Macaca mulatta: one gene and its partners. The protein of the gene in region 1 binds, or shares a complex with, the protein of each later gene. Links are inferred from orthologs where the notes say so. Each region holds a gene or a part of one and is shown in the gene's direction. Other genes may lie near its edges.

The links. Proteins that work in one complex are often made in the same cells at the same time.
Region 2: UPF3B (region 1) and MAGOH share a complex: the UniProt entries of both Homo sapiens proteins name them as parts of the mRNA splicing-dependent exon junction complex. The link is inferred for Macaca mulatta from reciprocal best matches to the Homo sapiens genes UPF3B and MAGOH.
Region 3: the proteins of UPF3B (region 1) and UPF2 are in contact, whole or in part, in a crystal structure (PDB 7NWU), measured with the Homo sapiens proteins. The link is inferred for Macaca mulatta from reciprocal best matches to the Homo sapiens genes UPF3B and UPF2. Residues at the interface, in NP_542199.1 of Homo sapiens: Lys52, Arg56, Arg57, Tyr79, Glu81, Phe83, Asn85, Asp86, Thr87, Ser88, Leu89, Tyr90, His92, Tyr94, Arg96, Tyr98, Ile130, Glu132, Pro135, Phe136, Lys138, Ala139, Ala140, Arg147, Asp148, Lys150, Val151, Gly152, Thr153, Ile154; in NP_056357.1 of Homo sapiens: Lys767, Arg768, Pro769, Pro770, Leu771, Glu773, Tyr774, Lys777, Lys790, Arg793, Gln794, Arg796, Lys797, Leu798, Pro799, Trp800, Gln801, Cys811, Ile814, Asn815, Trp817, Tyr837, Gln838, Glu839, Asp840, Ile843, His844, Val846, Asp847, Gly848.

The regions. Positions count from the first base shown.
Region 1 is NC_133426.1:126,334,724-126,342,459, reverse strand, and holds the start of UPF3B (regulator of nonsense transcripts 3B), read left to right. Parts: upstream 1-3,061; 5' UTR 3,062-3,141; coding exon 3,142-3,297; intron 3,298-4,202; coding exon 4,203-4,309; intron 4,310-4,479; coding exon 4,480-4,586; intron 4,587-7,736. UniProt on the Homo sapiens protein: Involved in nonsense-mediated decay (NMD) of mRNAs containing premature stop codons by associating with the nuclear exon junction complex (EJC) and serving as link between the EJC core and NMD machinery.
Region 2 is NC_133406.1:187,372,034-187,379,293, forward strand, and holds part of MAGOH (protein mago nashi homolog), read left to right. Parts: intron 1-1,491; coding exon 1,492-1,550; intron 1,551-3,423; coding exon 3,424-3,534; intron 3,535-7,260. UniProt on the Homo sapiens protein: Required for pre-mRNA splicing as component of the spliceosome. Plays a redundant role with MAGOHB as core component of the exon junction complex (EJC) and in the nonsense-mediated decay (NMD) pathway.
Region 3 is NC_133414.1:13,574,530-13,581,789, reverse strand, and holds part of UPF2 (regulator of nonsense transcripts 2), read left to right. Parts: intron 1-3,550; coding exon 3,551-4,330; intron 4,331-7,260. UniProt on the Homo sapiens protein: Involved in nonsense-mediated decay (NMD) of mRNAs containing premature stop codons by associating with the nuclear exon junction complex (EJC).

The DNA.
Region 1 (7,736 bases):
CTCAGGAGTTTAAGGCTTCAGTGAGCTGTGACCCTGAAAAAACAAAACAAAACTTGGAATGGCAAGGCAGAGAGTAAAAGAGATACAGACAATAGACAGAAGTAGGGGCAGGGTCAGAGAGAGACGCTATGCTGCTGGCTTTGAAGACAAAGGGTTCACAAGCCAAGAAATACGGGCTGCCTCAAGAGTCTGAAAAAGACAAGGAAATCAATTATCTCCTAGAGCCTCCAGGAAGGAACTCAGTCCTGCCAACACTTTGATTTTAGCCTAGTGAGACCCATATTGGACTGCTTATTTATTTATTTATTTATTTTTACTTTTTTTTTTTTTTTGAGATGGAGTTTTGCTCTGTCACCCAGGTTGGAGTGCAGTGGTGCAATCTCACTGCAAGCTCCACTTCCTGGATTCACGCCATTCTCCTGCCTCAGCCTCCCGAGTAGCTGGGACTACAGGTGCCCACCACCACGCCTGGCTAATTTTTTGTATTTCTCGTAGAGACGGGGTTTCACTGTGTTAGCCAGGATGGTCTTGATCTCCTGACCTCGTGATCCCCCACCTCGGCCTCCCAAAGTGCTGGGATTACAGGTGTGAGCCACCGCGCTCAGCCTTACTATATTTTTTGCCCCCTCACAGGACAAACTTAAAACCTTGTTGGACTTTTAACCTACAGAACTGTAAGATAATACACTTGCGTTATTTAAACCCACTAAATTTGTGGTAATGTTACAGCAGGAATAGGAAGCTAATACAGTTGGTGTGGGGGAAGATCAAGTGTTCGGTTTTGGATGCATTCAGTGGCTGAACACGTTAGACGTCTTAAGTGGAGATGTTAAATAGGCAGTTGGATACATGACTCTGATGATTTCCAAGGCTCATAAGAATGGCCAGGTACTGAAAGAAAGAGTAACAGATCCCAAATACAGGGAAACAGTTTTGGCCACAGGAATAGGAATCCAAAAATAGGCTGGACAATTAGAGTGAAAAAATTTAAGTGCAGAGTCAGGGGAATATATTCTAGAGGTCAGCAAAAATGGGAGTTGGCCCTGAGGCAGCTTTCTGCCTTGGGCTCCTATTGCATCTTTACTTTGGTTTTTGTCCTCTATGGGTGTCTGTCTGTCTCTCTCTCTCTCTCTTTTTTTTTTTGAGATGGAGTCTCACTCTGTCACCCAGGTTGGAGTCCAGTGGTTCTACCTCGGCTCACTGCAATCTCCGCCTCCCAGGTTCAAGTGACTCTCCTGCTTCAGCCTCCCAAATAGCTGGGACTACAGGCGCCCGCCACCATGCCCAGCTAATTTTTGTATTTTAGTAGAGACAGGGTTTCACCAAGTTGGTCAGGCTGGTCTTGAACTCCTGATCTCAGGTGATCTGCCTGCCTCGGCCTCCCAAAGTGCTGGGATTACAGGCATGAGCCACCACGCCCAGCTAATTTTTTGTGTTTTTAGTAGAGACGGGGTTTCGCCAAGTTAGCCAGGCTGGTCTCGAACTCCTGACTTCAGGTGATCCATCCGCCTTGGCCTCCTAAATTGCTGGGATTATAGGCGTGAGCCACCACGTCCGGCCGACTGAAGTGCTTTCTATCATTGTGGTTTTACCTTTTCTAAAATTTCATATAAATGGAATTGTACAACATGTACTCTCTTGGTGTCTGGATTCTGTCACTCAACATAATCACTGTGAGATTCACTTATGTTGATGCGTATATCAATAGTTAATTTTTATTGCTGAGTGGCATTGCATTCTATGGCTGTACCATATTTTGTTTTATCCCTTTGCCTGTTGAGAACATTTGGATTGTTTCCAGTTTGGAGTTATTATAAATAATGTAAAATTGGCCCTTTTTAAGTGAAGAGGGTGATCACAACTAAATCAAATTGGGTTTTATTTTTATTCCCTTCCCTGTGGGACATCAGTACCTGGGGAGAATGATCCTTTTGTAAAATAAGGTGATGAAAACAAATCTCGTATATTTTGGTCATATTACTCCTTTTTTTTTTTTTTTTTTGAGACGGAGTCTCGCTCTGTCACCCGAGCTGGAGTGCAGTGGCCGGATCTCAGCTCACTGCAAGCTCCGCCTCCCGGGTTTACGCCATTCTCCTGCCTCAGCCTCCCAAGTAGCTGGGACTACAGGTGCCCGCCACCTCGCCCGGCTAGTTTTTTGTATTTTTTAGTAGAGACGGGGTTTCACCGTGTTAGCCAGGATGGTCTCGATCTCCTGACCTCGTGATCCGCCCGTCTCGGCCTCCCAAAGTGCTGGGATTACAGGCTTGAGCCACCGCGCCCGGCCCATATTACTCCTTTAAATATCAGTATCTTGTGTTTATTTATTATTATCCTTCTTTTTTAGATACAGGGTCTCGCTCTGTCGCCCAAGCTGGAGTGCAGTGGCGCGATCATGGCTCACTGCAGCCTCGAATTCCTGGGCTCAAGATCCTCCCTTCTCAGCCTTCCCTAGCAGCTGGGAATACAGGCGCGCGCCACTGAACTCGGCTAATATTGTAGTGTTTACTAAGTATCTGTAAATCCTAATCAATATAAGGAAAATAAATTTTTTTAAATGTTAGGCTCTTTCTTTGAGTTGTAGGAAAATAAATTCTAAAGCCTCTGAATTCAAAGACAAAATATACAAGTCGCTCCCCTAGTGAGGCAAAATTTGGACGGCATTGAGTTTATCCGATGGAAACTAAGCGTGCAGAACGTATCTTTCGACCTGAAAAACTCTGAAGATGAAAGGATTCGATTTACTTACAAACAGGGACCCTGAGATACCTCTGGCTCCTGAACGCCCAACAAAAGCGGGCAGCTGCTTTGCATGCCGGGACTTGTAGTCCCCGACAGAGTCACTTCAAGATGGCGGAGTTGCTAATGACGCGCGAAGGGGCGGGCCCAGAGGGAGTCTGCGCCGCGAGGGGATTGGGTGACACAGGAACTTGGCGGGCGGGAAGTAAAAACCAGGTGTTAAAACCTTTGCACTGGGAAAGGCCCAAGTCTCGCGAGAGCTTGGCAGGCCCCAGTGGAACGTGGGGCCCGACTTATCATAAGGGGCATTTGTTGGGGGCGGAGCTTTGACGGGAGCTTCCCTGGAGCCGTTGGTGCCCGGGGTAGCCCCGTTCCGGCCGAGCCGCTTCAGCGGGGGACGTAGCCATGAAGGAAGAGAAGGAGCACAGGCCTAAGGAGAAGCGAGTAACCTTGTTAACCCCCGCCGGGGCCACAGGCAGCGGTGGTGGGACCTCGGGGGACAGCTCCAAGGGGGAAGATAAGCAGGATCGCAACAAGGAGAAGAAAGAAGCGCTGAGCAAGGTGCCCGGTCGGCCGCTGGCCCGGGAGAGGGCGGGACGGGTCCGCAGCGCGGGGAGGATGGCTGGGAATGGGGCCGGCCCCTTTCTCTCTCAGGTTCCCCTTCTTCTCTTCGCCTGAATGGAAGTCGCACCATCCTGGTTTATCCTTTCTCCCGAAATGGGGAGAGCCCCTCCCGGCCAAATCCTGGGTAGGGGTGAGGAAAAGGGGGGACTCCCCAAACGGGAAGGGTTTAGGTCAGAGCTGTGAGGTGATAATGGGAAGAGAGAGCGACGGTATAAAGAATGAGGAACTAAAGGTGTAATTGGGGAGAAATATTAAATACTGAAGGAGACATGAGGGATGGCAATATTATTCATGGAGGCGAGTTGGGGGAGAGTTCAGGGTGATTAATGGTACGGGAGGGTAGATCGAGAGCATACTATTTTGAGAGCAATGGGTGGATTTTTTGTATTCGTTAGAGTTTTGAATTCTTAAGTTCAATGGGCAAGGATTTTGTTTTAAGATGTGTTGGACGTGGGAGAAACTTGTTACTAAATCAAGATTTCGTGGCACCCACAAAGACCAGGGTTGGCTTACTAATTTCTTGCCACTAGATCTGTTAAAAAATGGGTGATCGAAAATGATGCACAAACCTGGTAAACTGCAGGGCTGCTGTAAAGAGCAAAACCTGAGATTTTTCCCTGCTCCAGGTGGTTCTCATTTCCAAGCGTTTTTTTTTTTTTTTTAACCGCGTTACTATTATCTTTGACTACTTCTGAGCATTGGGCTGCAGAATATTTTCTCCTGGGTTTTTACAAGTGATCTCATATTTTAAAAAGCCCAGTCTTCTTCAGGAACTGTGATTCTTTCAGGTATGAGAGAAAATTGATTTTTACTAATTTTATTTTCCTTATGCATTTCTTAAGGTGGTAATTCGAAGATTACCTCCCACTTTGACCAAGGAGCAGCTTCAGGAACATCTTCAACCTATGCCTGAGCATGATTATTTTGAGTTTTTTTCTAATGATACGAGGTAAAAAAAAAAAAAAAAAAAAAGGAAAGGGGTAAATGAAAAAGGTTTCTTTCACTCTTTTTATCCTACTGTTTTCCATTTAATTTTTGAGCTTGTCTTTAATATATGCATACTTGTAATTGGGCCAGACACCTGCAAATACATTTACATAATTGCTTTCCTCTCTGCAGTTTGTATCCTCATATGTATGCCAGAGCATACATCAACTTTAAAAACCAAGAGGACATTATTTTGTTCAGGGATCGCTTTGATGGTTATGTATTCCTTGACAATAAAGGTGAGTTCTGGTAACTGAAATAAAAAGGGAATTTCTTTGTCATTCTTTGTCATTTGTATGTTTAAGACAGTGTGTGCATTGCGTTGCTTCCTGGGTGATAAAATGTGCAACATTTAAGTAAAGAGTTTTACACATTTGATAAGCTTGTTGCAGTCTTATAAATAGACATGTGACTTTTCACAGTCCTTGGTTACTTTTATTAACTTACTATTTTTTTAATTTGATCAACTGAGTGAAATTGCAACTGTTTTCTCCTCGTGTGACAAATTTTTTGCCCTGGCTTAAACCTGCTGTTTTGACTATAGAGTTTCAGCTGCAGTACTGATAAGTGACTCTTAAACTTGTTTGATAAATTTTAAATATTTACTTCTTATTTTGCTTCAAAGACAAACATTTATTTAATTCAAATCCATTAAGCCAACAGTTCCCAGTTGGGATACTGTTGAACATTCTCACAAAGTTGTATATAATTAAAACATGAAACTTGATACATTGGCCGAGCACGGTGGCTCACACCTGTAATCCCAGCACTTTGGGAGGCCGAGGCGGGCAGATCACGAGGTCAGGAAATCGAGACCATCCTGGCTAACACAGTGAAACCCCGTCTCTACTAAAAATACAAGAAATTAGCCGGGCATGGTGGCGGGTGCCTGTAGTCCCAGCTACTCGGGAGGCTGAGGCAGGAGAATGGCGTGAACCCAGGAGGCGGAGCTTGCAGTGAGCGGAGATCGCGCCACTGCACTCCAGCCTGGGCGACAGAGCAAGACTCCGTTCCAAAAAAAAAAAAAAAAAAACTTGATACATCTCGGCCCGGTGCGTGGCTCTCGCCTGTAATCCTGTAATCCCAGCACTTTGGGATGCCGAGGCAAGTGGATCACGAGGTCAGGAGATCGAGACCAGCCTGGCCAACATGGTGAAACCCCGTCTCTACTAAAAATACTAAAAAAAATTAGCCGAACGCGGCGCCTGTAATCCCAGCTACTCAGGAGGCTGAGGCAGAAGAATCGCTTGAACCCGGGAGGCAGAGATTGCAGTGAGCCAAGATCACGCCACTGCACTCCAGCCTGGCGACAGAGCCAGACTCTGTCTCAAAAAAAAAAAAAAAAAAAAAAAAAACCTTGATACTTCTCTTACTTTATATCTAGAAAGGTCCAGTCTATAGGCAAGACACATTTCTGCTTTAACACTCTATTATATGCTACCTACAACATTTAGCCAGAGAATGTCTAAGCTGCCATTTGCCACTTTTCTTTTTGGTTTGCAATTATAGGTAAATAGTGTGTCTTCTTGTTTAGTTTTGTTTTTTTCAATATTCCTTCAAAGTTGGTAAAAATTAAATTTTTGTCAGGGACTATGCCAGTAAAAATTGAAGGATTGCCAGTGTTTGTCCAACTTTTATTAATCTCCCCAAGCCAGCTATTTTTCCACTCCAACTATTTTATTCCAGTAGATATTTAACTAGATTCTAGTTACTTAGCCTGGAAATCTGAGTTGTGTTTAATTTTTTCCTTTTTTAAAATCTCTTACATGTAAGTTATGAATCTTGTCAATTTATTGTTTATCTTTTGAGACAGGGTCTCCACCCAGGTTGGAGTGCTGTGCCGCAATCATAGCCCACTGCAGCCTGGAATTCCTGGACTCAAGCAACCCTCCCACCTCAGCCTCCTGAGTAGCTGGGACTACAGACGCGTGTCACCATGCCTGGCTAATTTTCTTTAAATTTTTTTATAGAGCTGGGGTCTTGCTATGTTACCCAGGCTGGTCTTGAACTCCTGGGTTCAAGTGATCCCCCCACCTCAGCCTCCCAAAGTGCTGGGATTACAGGTGCAGGCCACCGTACCGAGCCCAACACCACTTATTAAAGAGACTATCCTTTCCCCATTGTGGTTTTTGTTTGTTCATTTGTTTTGTTTTGTTTTTAAATCTTAAAGACAAGGTCTACTTATATTGCCCAGGCTGGATTTTATTGTTTTTTTTAATATCTTGTTCACCTAGACTTTCAGTCACACTTTATGTTCTCATCATTTAATGTCTAGACAACCACTGTCTCTAAACTTACAGGATTTTCCATTTTTCCCATTCTTGTATAATTCAGTCTATTATATTGCCATGAAATTAATCTTTTTGAAAATAATGATTTAAACTAACGGTTGGGGGAAAAAAGTCCAAACTCCTTAGCCTGGTAGTCAGGGTCCTCCATATTCTGGCCTCACTTCTGTTTCTTCAGCCTGTCTTCCACAATTTCCCTCTGTTTCAGTCTGGTTTATCTATTCCTTCTCAAATATATTTTGGTTTTTGGTTTGTATTTTTGTTTTTTTCATTTTCTTTCCTTTTTTCTTTTCTTTTTTTCTTTTTTTTTTTTTTTTTTTTTTGAGACAGACCCTTACTCTGTCACCCAGGCTAGAGTACAGTGGCACAATCTTGGCTCATTACAACCTCCACCTCCTGGGTTCAAGCAATTCTCGTTCCTCAACCTGTCGACTTAGCTGGGATTACAGGTACGTGCCACCACACCCAGCTAATTTTTGTAATTTTAGTAGGGATGGGGTTTTACCATGTTGACCAGGCTGGTCTCGAACTCCTGGCCTCAAGCAATCCACTCGCCTCAGCCTCCCAAAGTGCTGGAATTACAGGCATGAGCCACCATGCCTGGCCTAATATATCACAGTTTTGAAGCTAATCTGATTCTGTACTCACTGGGATTCCCAACATAATTTTTCCTTTATGACTGCTTTGCAGTGCCTTCTGGTCAATTCTATTTATTTTTATTTTTTTTCTTATGTCTATATGCCAGTGATTTAAGGATAGGATACCTTGTTTTTGACATTCTGTGACAGGGTGCTTGTGAATTTTTTTCCCATTAGTCACTTGAGGGTTTTGTATTGAAATATAACTCACCTATAGTAAAATTTATCCTCTTAAAGCGTACAATTCAGTGGTTTCTGGTATATTCACAAAGTAGTACAACCATCAGTACTAATTCCAGAATGTTTTCATCCCTCCAAAAAGAAACCCATATCTATTAGTAGTTACCTCCCATTCTCTCCCTCCAGCCCCTGGCAACCACTAATCTACTTTATGTATCTATGATTTCCCTCCATTTCATATAAATGTAATCATACAATATGTGGTCTTTTCTGACTGGCTTTT
Region 2 (7,260 bases), on another chromosome or scaffold:
AAGATGACAGAAAACATCCATTAAGCGGGCCACAAAGATGTATCTGACAGGCCCCGACTGTGAGGGAGATGGATTTGTAAGCAGGGACCAAACAGCGTATTAGGTGTTGTGGTAAAAAGAAACAGAGGAGACTTGCAGCAGAGAAGGGGCACCTAGCCAAGCCTGAGGGTCAGAGGAGGCTTCCTACATAAAATGATGGGAGGAGGGGATGTGAGGTATTGGTTAGGAGACCAAGAAGAGTCAAGAAGGCATTTTAGACAGCATGCAAAGAGGCTGAAAACCAAAAAGTGCTTGGGATGTTTCAGGCAGAAACCAAGTTGTTCGACTCCAGCTGTGTGAGAGAAGAATATTGCAGGAGTGAGGCTGGAAAAGCAGGCAGGGGCTTTGCTTAGCCGTATGCCATGTTGAGGAGTTTGGATTTTTTTTTTTTTTTTTTTTTTGAGATGGAGTCTTGCTCAGTTGCCCAGGCTGGAGTGCAGTGGCACGATCTGGGTTCACTACAAGCTCCGCCTCCCGGGTTCACGCTATTCTCCTGCCTCAGCCTCCTAGGTAGCTGGGACTACAGGCGCCCGCCACCACGCCTGGCTAATTTTTTACATTTTTAGTAGAGACGGGGTTTCACCGTGTTAGCCAGGATGGTCTCGATCTCCTGACCTCGTGATCTGCCCGCCTCGGCCTCCCAAAGTGCTGGGATTACAGGCGTGAGCCACCGCGCCCGGCCGGATTTTAACCAGGAAGGCAGCGGAAAGCCATTGACTTTATCAAAGTATTAGAGTAACCTAATCTGATAGATCTGTTACCACATCACCTTGTCCACTATATGGACAGTGAACTGAATGTGAAGAAACTTGAGGCAGAGAGACAGCACAGAGACCGTTGGAATAAATTCACTGGGCTCATCTCACATGTATGTCTTCTAGTCTACATGTCTTCTGTTTCCTTCTATCTTCTCCTCATCCCCACCATGTATTCACATTAACCTGTTAGACGCACACATGGACAAAGGGTCTTGTGTACCAAATGTGCTCAGTGATAAAAGCAACAACTTTTCCATCACAGAAATAGAGTGTGGCACAGTCACATGATAATATATGTAAACAGCATCCTACAGTTTTCAAAATGTTTTCACAACTCATTTGAGCCTCAGGAGGTCCTATGTGCTGGTAAGTTATCATTTACTCTGCCTGTTTTCAGGACATTCACCTGCAAAAATGTGATTCGACAAAGTCAGAAAAGAGCCTGCCTGTGTTTTTACCTCACCTGAGCTGCTTTTTGCAGTAGTTGAGTGTCAGCTGTATATTTGGCTGTTTAAGCCTGAAGTGAAGAACTGAAAGACTAGTATTGTTGAACTACCTTAAGAGTAAATAATAAATGTCTTAGACACTTTGAGCAAGTTGGATACATTTTAGGCAACTGCCGATAGTCTTGGTATGGTATTGATGCTTTATTCATGTTTTTATTATATGTTGAATTTGGCTTTTGTCCCCACAGGGAAGTTAAGATATGCCAACAACAGCAATTACAAGAATGATGTCATGATCAGAAAAGAGGTATGCCTTCTGAGAGGCCTTCATTTTCTACATTTCAGCTTTTTGTCTTGCATTGTTTTTGTTGTATCTAGTATTGAAAGGTAAAGAACAGGGAGAGAGACACATGTCTGTAGACAGCTTCTGGATTATTTCCCAAATCATCTTTTAGTTGGGATTTTTTTATTTTACAATGTGGAATCAATTACTGGTAACCATTGACATACCTTGGTTTGAACCCTGAGTCTGCTGCTTACTACCTCATGTGACAGTGGGCAAGTTCCTGGCTGAACTTGATTAAATCTCTGTTTCTTCACCTGCAAAAACAGGGAAAATAAAAGCTACCTCCCACTCCCAAGTGCTGTCATAAAATTAAATGTGTTATACTTAAAGTGCTCTATATATTCCCTGGCACATAGTACACAATGGAGAGCTATTTAATTTGCATCTGAGTGGGAAAGGGAGCATGGGAAAGCAGTTGATATCATTGAATGCATGTTAGATGTCAGGCATGGCATCTTATTTAACCCTGATTATAAGCCCATATGATGGGGGAGGGTATTATAGCCCCCTTACAAATAAGAAAATAAAGGCCCAGATATTAATTATGAGACTTGTTCAGAGTTACCCCTGCTAGTAAGAGATACAGCAGGAATTCCCAATTAAAGGAATTCCCCAGTAAAGTTTGTATTCTCCTCTCTGTGATTTCTACTACATCATTAAGGCTTCATCAAAGCTACTCTTTTAACCACTCTGCCACCTTTGAAAATGTCTTAGCATATATTTTTCATACTGTTGTTTTAGCTATCAGTTTCATGCTTATTCACACATGTCAACATTCTCACTATTTTTTTACACAGGCATATCTTTTCAAATACATTTTGCTCCTCAGGAGCGTATTACCTAGTTAAGAATAACTGGCCGGGCGCGGTGGCTCACGCCTGTAATCCCAGCACTTTGGGAGGCCAAGGTGGGCGGATCACGAGGTCAGGAGATGGAGACCATCCTGGCTAACACGGTGAAACCCCGTCTGTACTGAAAATACAAAAAAATATAGCCGTGGTGGTGGGTGCCTGTAGTCCCAGCTATTCAGGAGGCAGAGCGTGCAGTGAGTCGAGATTGCACCACTGCACCCCAGCCTGGGCCACAGAGTGAGACTCCGTCTCAAAAAAAAATAAACCAGGGCATGTAGGTGTTGCTGTCTCTTTTGTTTTGCTATAACAGAATACCTGAGACTGGGTAATTTTTAAGCCATAAAAATATATTTCTCACAGTTTTGGAGGCTGGGAAGTCCAAGATCAAGGCACTGGCAGGTTCAGTGTTTAGTGAGGGCCCAGTCTCTGCTTCCACAACTGTGCCTTGTTTTTGCATCCTCCAGAAGGGATGAATGCAGTGTTCTCATATGGTGAAAGAACAAGCAAGGGGCCAGCTAGTTCTCTTAAGCTGTCTCCTAAGGCACTAATCCTATCCATGGGGGCTCTGCCCTCAAGGCCCAATCAACTCTTAAAGGCCCTATCGATTAACACCGTTGCATTGGGGATTAATTTCAACATGAATTTTGGAGGAGACACAAAAATTCAAACCATAGCAGGGGGCATTCACAGATCTATTTTGGGTTTCTTTGTGAGTTGGCTGTGTGGACAGGCAGAAGGGCCATGTAAACAGGATGTACCAGGAGGTAGTAACAGCTAGATGGGGGACTGAGGTGCAGTTTATTAGATACTTCTGACCCTGTCCCTCACCTGCATCATGCCGAGGTTGAGCATGAATGTCTTCCCACTTAAGAAGATGCCAGAAATAAGTCTGCAGGAACAGTTATTTTTATCTTCCATCACTATCTGAGTCAAAGCACTGCTTAAGGATACAACATACATTTTGTCTTTTAACTTGCTTTCAGGCTTATGTACATAAAAGCGTGATGGAGGAACTGAAGAGAATAATCGATGACAGTGAAATTACCAAAGAGGATGATGCATTGTGGCCTCCTCCTGACCGAGTGGGCCGGCAGGTATGTTTTATTGATTATCCTGTAGTGCAGAAATCTTACAAATAAGATGAGGTTTAGTGCTCTGCATATGATAGTGAAACTGTGTGCATGTGTGTGTGATGGTGGTGGTGGTGGTGGTGGTCAGCCCTGCAGAAAGCAGATTGCCAGCACCTTGGTCTAAGGAAGCATTAATCCCACAGGAAGGAACAGAGAGAACAAGTGCTGCTGGCCACCAAGAACCCAGCCTTGAATTTCTTCTTAGGACCCCCCACACTCCCTCCTCCACTTAAAGCTTTTGCTGCCTATCTCATTTACTAACTACTATGGACAAAGCATTGTGGAGATACAAAGAAAAATAGAACATGATTATTTCACCAATCTAATGAAAGGAAAATCATACAAATAATTCAGTATATGTATTTAAATTCATGTGTATTTATATACATTATATATTCATTCCGAGCACCGTTTTGTTAACTAAAAAATAAAAGCCACTATCATATTGAACTGAATTAACAGAAAAGGTATTTTCACTCTGACTGCTACCATCCTAATCCAGACTTCTGGACTTCTAATAGGTTCCCTTGTTTTTCCTCTTGTTCCATACCATCCATTTTTCCATCCTGAAAGCCAATGTAATTTTTTTTTTTTTTTCGAGACGGAGTCTCGCTCTGTCGCCCAGACTGGAGTGCAGTGGCATGATCTCAGCTCACTGCAACCTCCACCTCCTGGGTTCAAGTGATTCTCCTGCCTCAGCCTCCCGAGTAGCTGGGATTACAGGCACACACCACCATGCCCAGCTAATTTTTGTATTTTTAGTAGAGATAGGGTTTCACCATGTTGGCCAGGCTGGTCTTGAACTCCTGACCTCAGGTGATCCGCCCACCTTGCCCTCCCAAAGTGCTGTGATTACAGGCGTGAGCTGCCGCGCCTGACCAGTGTGATCTTTAAAAATGTAAATTTGCTTATGTATTCCACTGATTTAAACTCCAATGGCTTCCCACTGTACTTAAAATTTAAACTCCCACCTTATCTTTTACCATGCTTCCAGTCTGTCATGGTGTTCAAACCTTACTAGCTTCATTTCTGTTCCTCAGAAATACCTAGGTGGTTCTTACTTCAGGGCCTTGGCACTTGCCACATTCTGCCTAAAATATTCTTCCTTTAACTCTGTACAAGACTCTCTCTATTATTGAGGTCTTCAAAAGTCGGTTCCTCGGTGATATCTTGCCTGTCCATTCAATCTAAGAAGTCTCTTCCCATCATTAAGAAAAAGATCTGTTGTGCTGTCTTTGTGTGTGTGTGTGTGTTTTCTTTTTGCTTTCAGTTTCATCACAATATGTGTTGTCTTTGTAGCACTTATTGTCTAAAATTGTCTTACTTGCTTTTCAATTTTTTCACTGCTATATCTCCAGTGACTAAAATAGTGCCCATGTATAGTAAAAGCCCAATAATAATTTGTTAAATTAACATGAAAACCCATATAAACTCATGCCTAATAACCTCAAAATGATGGACCAACCCTTCAAGAAGAGTTTTTTTAAAAAATCCTACCTTCAGTACTTACTAAAGTTAACTTTATGTTCAAGGAATCTCAGTAATATCATATATATGTATTTTGCTTTACCATTTATAAAATTTTTATTTCTGTTAGCTCGTTCAACCATCACAACAATTGTGTGAAGAGGGAAGGGCATATTCCTTTATACCAGCAATAAGCCATTGGTACTGTAATTAAAATCAATCCCATTAATAATTACAAGAAAAGTTAATAAAGAACTTGGGTATGCAATTAACAAGATGTACAAAACTTGAAAGGGCTTTATAGAAGGACAAAAATATGTATCGTTTTTGTGGATGGGAAGATTCAGTATCATATAGATGTCAGTTTTCAACAAAGTAATTTATAAATTCACTCTTAATTCAAATGAAAATCGCAGTAGGGTTTTTTCCCCTTAAAATCAAATAGAATAAGCATTAAATTCATGGAAAATCAGAGGCAAGAGTAGCCAAAATAATACTGGAGATTGCTTATAAAACTGTGGCCATTTATAGTATGATATTGCCTCGGGAATTGACAGCTAAACCAATGGAACAGCATAGACAGCCCAGAAACCAACTTATGAATATATGGAAACTTGGAACAGCGTACTACAGAGGTGGACTTTCACATTAATGGGAAAAGAATGAGTTATTTAACAAATTGTACCAGGACAGCTGACAATATATTTATGGAATGTTTTTAAATTAGGCTATAGAAATCAAAAATTTTAAACAGAATATAGACTATCTTTTATTATTTATGGATAGAGAAGGAGTTTTTAAAACTCCTTAAGGGGTAAGATTGGTAAATTTGACTTCTTTACAACTTAGGTTTGACAAAAGATGGCAAGATAAAGTTGAAAGATAAGCCATAGACTGGAAGAAGGTATCTGCAAAACATAAAACTGGCAAGAGTTTTCTATCCAGAATATATAAAGAATTAGAAAGTAATAAAAAGACAGTCCCGTGGCAGAATGTGGAAAGGTTATGAATAACTTACAAGATCAAACAAGTGGCTAATAAATGTGAAAAGATTTACAGCTTCATTTGTAAAATGAAAGAACAACAGTGAGATACCATTTCAGACCCATTAGAATAACAACAGAAAAAATCTGCCGAGTTTAAAAAATGATACGAGAAAAGAGTGAGAGTAAAATTAGTATAACTGCGTTAGGGAGTAATTTTGTGGTATCTGGGAACATTTAAAATACTAGGAATTATATGGAGACATTTTCACATATGTATAAGGAGATGTATAGAAGAATATTCTTGCTACATTGTTTATAGGAACAAAAATTCAGAACTTAAGTTTATTTCAGTAGGGAAATGGAATACTATAGCATTTAAAACTAATGAGCTAGATCTGTGTAACTCAACATTGATAAATCTCAAAAACAATGTGGAATGAAAAATGCAAAAAGTATGTATAATATGACCATTTTTGTAAAAATTTTACAACACACTACTACGTCTAGGCCAGGCATAGTGACGCATGCCTACATTCCCAGCACTTTTTTTCTAAATTGGGAGGCCAAGGTGGGAGGATGGCTTGAGGCCAGGAGCTCAAGACCAGCCTGAGCAGCACAGTGAGACCTTTTTTCTACAAAAAAAAAAAAAAAAAAAAAAAAAAACCCTAAAAATTAACTGGGCATGGTGGCGCATACCTGTAGTCTTAGCTATTCGGGAGGCTAAAGGTGCAGGATGGCATGAGCCCAGGAGCTCAGGGTTACAGTGAGCTATGATCCTACCACTGCACTTCAGCTTCAGTGACAGAGTGAGACCCTGTATCTAAAAAGAAGTAAGTGAAAACATACTACCAAACCTGAAACAAGAATGGAACAAATCAGGGGATACAGGAGGGAGAACAGAATGGGAGATAGACATAAATTTTGTAGTATTTTATTTCTTTTAAAAAAAAATCTGACACAAGTATGGCAATAATTTATAAATCTGAGTATTGGAAACATGTCAGTTTTTTCTATTTTCTGATTGAATTATAACAAAAAGTATAAATGAATCAAAAAGAAGAAAAAGTAAGTAGGGCTCACAAGAATATAAATTCCACAGGGCAGAGATCTTTGGTTTGCTTGGTTTTACTTATCTGTCCTGAGCACTGAGAACAATACCGAGCACCCAGCAGGCTACACATAGATACTTTTTGAAGGTTTGTGGTACTCATGTCACTGTTTGGAAATTGAGACCCAC
Region 3 (7,260 bases), on another chromosome or scaffold:
GCTACCACACCTGGGTATTTTTGTACTTTTTGTAGATAGAGTTTCACCGTGTTGCCCAGGCTGGTCTTGAACTCTTGGACTCAAGAAGTCCTCCTGCCTCAGCCTCCCAAAATTTTGGGATTATAGGCATGAGCCACCATGTCTGGCCTAAAATAATCATTTTTTGGAAATGATGTCTTGCTATTTTGTCTAAGTCTGTAATTGCTGAGCTCAAGCGATCCTCCCACTACAGCCTCCCTAGTAGCCGGAACTACAGATGTACACCACTGTGTGTGGCCAGATATATAATTTAAAAAGCTTTTTGCAAGCACGATTTTGTATAGATCTCTAGAACAGCCACCTTTCTTCTCAGAGTTGTTCTTTAGAACTTCTGCTTTCTTCCCTTTTTTGTGGGGGTGATGGGGGCATTGCTGTGTTGTTACCCAGGCTGGAGTGCAGTGGCTGTTCTCAGGTTCCATCATAACGTACTGCAGCCTCCAACTCCTGGGCTCAAGTGATTCCTCCTGCCTCAGCCTCCTGAGTATCTGTCATTACAGGCTTGTGCCACCAGTCCTGGCCAGGACCTCTACTTTTAATAAGGAACAGAAGCCTTAGGTCTGCAAGACTATAGTAGTGCCTAGTTTTGGAATATTCAGAACCATGATTCTTGAGAGATTTTTTTTTTTTTTGAGACAGGGTTTGCTCTATCGCCCAGGCTGGAGTACAGTGGCCCGGTCTCAGCTCACTGCAGTCTGTGCCTCCTGGGCTCAAGCGATCCTCCCACCTCAGCCTCCTGAGTAGCTGGGACTACAGATGCATACCACTACGCTTGGTTAATTTTTGTATTTTTTGTAGAGACGGGGTTTTGCTGTGTTGCCCAGGCTGGTCTTGAACTCCTGAGCTCCTGGGGAAATTTCAGATATATGCAAAAATAGAGGAGTATAGTGAACTAGTCCCTCATCTACCTAGCATCAATAATTACACACTTTCTCCCCCTGGAGTATTTTAAAGCATCATAGCATTTACCCATAAAAACTTCATTATACATCTTAAAGTGTTTTCAGTGCAGCTGAAAATTGAGTTATTTAATGTATGTACGTACTTTCTTTTCTTTCTTTCTTTTTTGAGAGAGTTTTGCTCTTGTTGCCCAGGCTGAATACAATGGCACGATCTCGGCTCACCCCAACCTCCGCCTCCCGGTTGAAGCCATTCTCCTGCCTCAGCTTCCTGAGTAGCTGTGACTACAGGCATGTGCCACCACACCCAGCTAATTTTTGTATTTTTAGTAGAGATGGGGTTTCTCCATGTTGGTCATGCTGATCTCGAACTCCTGACCTCAGGTGATCCACCCATCTTGGCTTCCCAAAGTGCTGGGATTACAGGCGTGAGCCACCACACCCGGCCTTGTACATACTTTCTTAAAATGTACTTTCACTGCTCATTTTGTATTTGTGTGTTGCTGGGAGACTTCAAAGAGATACTCAACTGTCCATGTTATCAGTGATAGAGGCCACCTTTCTGTTAATATATTGTAGTTTTTAGTGGAAAAATCAAGTAATTATCTTGTAACTCAGGGGTGATTATCTCAGAAAGATGAAAATCTACTTTTTTAGAGATTTATAGATATGTGTATAATTTTTTGAGACAGGGCCTCACTCTGTCACCTAGGGTGGAGAGCTATGGTGTGATCATGACTCACTGCAGCTTCAACCTCCCTGGCTCAAGCGATCCTCCCGTCTCAGCCTCCCAAGTAACTGGGACTACAAGCCTGTGCCACCACGTCCAGCTAATTTTTTAAATTTTTTGTAGAGATTGGGTCTCACTCTGTTGCCCAGTCTGATCTTAACTCCTGGGCTCCTCCCACCTCAGCTTCCCAAAGGGGAGATTTAAGTTATATATTTTGTTATCTCAAAAACTTCAATAAACTTCAAAATCATATTGTTTGTCACCCCTCACTCCTGCCTATTTTATTACTTCTGCAATTTAAATTGTTCTGTCTTTTTAGAGGAAAAATAGGTATATTTGTTTTTAGTTATTTTTTTCAGTATAAACTGAGTCTACTAGCTTTTTATTAAAAGTTTCTTATTTGATAGTTGTCTTCTGGTTCCTTTCCAAATTTTCTAAATCACTTGAATTTTTAAGAGTCCAAACCTGGCAAGGTAGTTTGTTAAAGGTTTGGCTAATGTGCTGAGTATGGAAAAACAATATCTAACATTTCAAAACTTTTTTTTTTTTTGAGATAGAGTCTCACTCTGTTGCACAGGCTGGAGTGCAGTGGCATGATCTTGGCTCATAGCAACCTCTGCCTCCTGAGTTCAAGTGATTCTCCTGCCTCAGCCTCCCGAGTAGCTGGGACTACAGGCGCGTGCCACCATGCCTTGCTAATTTTTTGTTGTTTTTAGTAGAGATGAGGTTTCACCATGTTAGCCAGGATGTGTCGATCTCCTGACCTTGTGATCTGCCTGACTCGGCCTCCCAGAGTGCTAGGATTACAAGTGTGAAGCCACCGCCCAGCCTCAAAAACATTTTTAATGCGTTCTTTTATAGTACTAATTCTTTTTTTTTTTTTTGAGACAGAGTCTCACTCTGTTGCCCAGGTTGGAGTGCAGTTGCGTGATCTTGGCTTACTGCAGCATCAGCTTCCGACTCCCAGGTTTAAACAATTCTCCTGCCTCAGCCTCCCAAGTAGCTGGGATTACAGGCGCCCACCACCATGCCCAGCTGATTTTTGTGTTTTTAGTAGAGACGGGGTTTCACCATGTTGGCCAAGCTGTTCTCAAACTCCTGACCTCAGGTGATCCACCTGCCTCCCAAAGTGCTGCCTCCCAAAGTCACCATACCTGGCCTTGTAGTGCTAATTCTTTAAAGAATTCTTTGTGGATTTTTTTTTTCTCTTTGCCCATTGCTTTTATTTGTTTCACATTTTATATCCTTCCCAAACATACTATATTTTTCATAGTAGCATTATATGTCTTACCTAGTTAACTTGCCAGTTGGCAGAATGATTTTTAATTTAATCTAGTCAGTATCCTCCGCTCTATGACATTTGTTATCAACCTACAGTACTGGGCTTCTCATTAAGATAATACTTGTTAGCGTAAGTCATTAGTAAAATGTGTTTATTTATTTATTTATTTTGAGACGGAGTCTTGCTCTGTCGCCCAGGCTAGAGTGCAATGGCACCTTCTTGGCTTACTGCAACCTCTGTCCCCTGGGTTTAAGTGTTGTGCCTCAGCCTCCTGAGTAGCTGGGACTACAGGTGAGCGCCATCACACCCAGCTAATTTTTGTATTTTTAGTAGAGATGGGATTTCACCATATTGGCCAGGCTGGCCTTGAACTCCTGACCTCAGGTGATCTGTTTGCTTTGGTCTCCCAAAGTGCTGGGATTACAGGCATGAGCCACCACGCCCGGCCAGTAAAATGTCTTTAAAAGTAGTGAAAGGCCTTTTGAATCTTGTAGATTATTATACTTAGATAATTTTTTTCACTGGTTTTTTACTCGTAGGGGATTTGTGTATAATGCTTCAAAATATAGAGAGTATTTTATGTATTTGTTTGTTTTTATATAGAGAAAAAGAAGAATCCGTTCAGCTTCATCAGGAAGCTTGGGAACGACATCATTTAAGAAAAGAACTTCGTAGCAAAAACCAAAATGCTCCGGACAACCGACCAGAGGAGAACTTCTTTAGCCGCCTTGACTCAAGTTTGAAGAAAAATACTGCTTTTGTCAAGAAACTAAAAACTATTACGGAACAACAGAGAGACTCCTTGTCCCATGATTTTAATGGCCTAAATTTAAGCAAATACATTGCAGAAGCTGTAGCTTCTATTGTGGAAGCAAAACTGAAAATCTCTGATGTGAACTGTGCTGTGCACCTCTGCTCTCTCTTTCACCAGCGTTATGCTGACTTTGCCCCATCACTTCTTCAGGTCTGGAAAAAACATTTTGAAGCAAGGAAAGAGGAGAAAACACCTAACATTACCAAGTTAAGAACCGATTTGCGTTTCATTGCAGAATTGACAATAGTTGGGATTTTCACTGACAAGGAAGGTCTTTCCTTAATCTATGAACAGCTAAAAAATATTATTAATGCTGATCGGGAGTCCCACACTCATGTCTCTGTAGTGATTAGTTTCTGTCGACATTGTGGAGATGATATTGCTGGACTTGTACCAAGGAAAGTAAAGAGTGCTGCAGAGAAGTTTAATTTGAGTTTTCCTCCTAGTGAGATAATTAGTCCAGAGAAACAACAGCCCTTCCAGAATCTTTTAAAAGAGTACTTTACGTCTTTGACCAAACACCTGAAAAGGGACCACAGGGAGCTCCAGAATACTGAGAGACAAAACAGGTGATTTTCAAATGTTTCTCAGAGTTGAGAATTTATTTTTGGAGCTCATACTTAAAAATGTTTAAAGTCTTCATGCCACTGAAAGAACTTATGGAAAAGGGCTCCTTACAGGTGATTTCTTAACATTCCAGGAAAATTTCAAAGTAGAACAGTCTGAGTACTCATGTTTTAATGTGAGTCTACAATAGATTTTGTTTCTGATTTAAAAAAAAAATCTGCCAAGTAGATGGTGATTTTCACCTTGTGAATGTGTATTCTTCCTGTGATTTTAAACACTACTTAATAATTGAGGGATAAATTTTCCTTTTCTGTCACTTAAACTTACCTGCTAATATTTTTCTGTGTGCTTTAATGTTCTCTTTATAACAGGTTTGCTTTCATTGTTTTGTATTTTAAGTTCTTTATGTCACTGTTGCTCTTCTTAAGAAAATGAGTCATTAATTACCAGTGGTATTTCAGATTAGAGTTTTGGAAAATAATGCACAAAATAAGCTATGAAAAATTTCTTAAATGCAACTTCAAAACTCATTCGTAGGAGTCTTCTTCCTTGGGGCATTCATTTAAAATTCTAAATGAGGAACGTACTGTGCCTGTGGTAATTGGTGAAAAGACCTGACTTTGGGGCCAATTTTGATTGTTAAAAGGTATTGTAGGCTAGTGTGTAGTATTTGTACCTGAGAAGCAACAGGAAGCTAGAAGTTGATGGAGTTGCTGGGCATTAGGTCAATTTCTGTGGAGGATGGATTTGGAGGGGGGCTGAGGGGGTGTAGAAATAAGGTAATAGCCATAGCACGTGGCTGAGTATTAAACTATTTTAATATTTCTACAACTATATTGCATGGTTGAGAATCTGAAATTACTGTTGATCAGAAATTTGTATAGGAGAATATCCTTTTCTAGTTTCATAAGTCTGTGGTAGGGGAGGAGTGGTTTAAGTAGTTAGCGCTAGAAGATGATTGACTTAACCAGAAGACTGAACAGGAATAGTGTATGCCAGTAGTACAGTTAGGGCAGGGTCAAGGTAGAGACTTGTGGCTGAAGGTAGAGACTTGTGGTTAAATCTTTGTGGCTGAAGGTCACTCAGAGGTGAGAATTTTAGATGGCAATGGTGTTATCAATAGTTCTTTTAGGAAAAAGAAAAAGGCTTATCCTTATTTTGTGTTTTGATTTGCGAGGACTGGTTTAAACTTTGAAGAGGCAACCTGAGAATGTACTTGTACCATCAGTAATGGACTAAAAAGGATTATGGTGGTGCTTTATTCATACTTCTCACTTACTGAGGGCTTCCTAATTATGATTTCCATATGCTTTGTCAGTTTCATAGTCCTTTCCTCATACATTCTACTTAATATATCATAACTGATGATTTGTAAGTATGCTAATAGTATGCTAATGATTGATTAGTTATTGGCTACTTTGAGGGTGTATGTGTGTGTATTTGCTTTTGATTGGACTCAGAATCTTGGAGAGTGAAGAGATTCTATGATGTTTTAATCCAATCCATTAACCTTTCCGAAGTAGGAAAACATTTTATAGATTATCTAACAGATAAGATTATTTTTCCTCTGAATACTTCCCAAAGGAGCTCAGTTCTGTCTGTGCCATTGCACTGTTGGTAACACTTATGGGCTAGGAATTCTTTTGTTACATCAAGTGGAAATTTAACTTACCACAAAATGGTTCACTTTGATTTGGTTCTTTTTTCTAGTATGGATGGAATACAGGTACTTGAAGTAGGAGATCTATGAACTTTTTACCTGTTCATAATGAATGAAATACAGAAAGTGAGAGTGAGCACTTAGAAATTATTATAGGAATTTTCAGGCTGGGCATGGTGGCTCACACCTGTAATCCCAGCACTTTGGGAGGTCAAGGCGGGTGTGTCGCCTGAGGTCAGGAGTTCTAGACCTGCCTGGCCAACGTGGTGAAACCCCATCTCTACTAAAAACGCAAAAATTAGCTGGGCATGGTGGCAGGCCCCTGTAATCCCAGCTACTTGTAGGGGCCTGAGGCAGGAGAATCGCTTGAACCCGGGAGGCAGAGGTTGCAGTGAGCTGATATTGCGCCATTGCCCTCCTGCCTGGGGGATAAGAGTGAGACTTCGTCCCCGCCCCGCCCCCAAAAACAAGGTTTATAGGAGTTTTCAATGGTCATAGTATTCCTACTATATTTTTACGGAAGTGTCCAATGGTTGGGGATGGAAAGGTGGCCCTTTACCACAGATGGTTTGGGGAACACTGGTAGAGGACATACTTGTCCACTTTTATTCCCATGACAGTATCTCAGATATTCACAGACTGCTGTGATGTTTCCCTTTTCTCTTCTCTATGTTAAATACCTCCAGTTCTTTCAGTTTGCGCCATGATTTCCAGACACTTCACTATGCTTAGGATACTTGTTTTGGATGCATTCTTTTCTATCTGTGACCTAAAATTGCCTTCGTTTTTATAGCTACCTTGTCGTTCTTTTGGTTTTTGTTAAACTTATTTGCACTAAAGCTTTATTTCTCATATGAACTGCTGACAAGCCACTTCTTCACCTTAAACTAGTGAAATACAGTTTTTAAAGCCTAAATGTGTACTTGCTTATCTCTATTAAACTTTATTTAGATGCTTTTGGTATATTATTTTAGCTTTATGAATGCTTTGGATATTGATTACATGTATACACAGTACTGGCTGGGCGCAGTGGCTCACGCCTCTAATGTCAGCACTTTGGGAGGCTGAGGCAGAAGGATCGCTTGAGCCAGGAGTTTGAGACTAGCCTGGGCAACATGGTGAAACCCCATTGCTACAAAAAATATAAAAATTAGCTGGGTGTGATGGCACGGGCCTGTAGTCTCAGCTACTTGGGGGCTGAGGTGGGAGGATCACTTGAGCCTGAAATGTCAAGACTGCAGTAAGCCGTGATCGTACCACTGCACTCTAGCC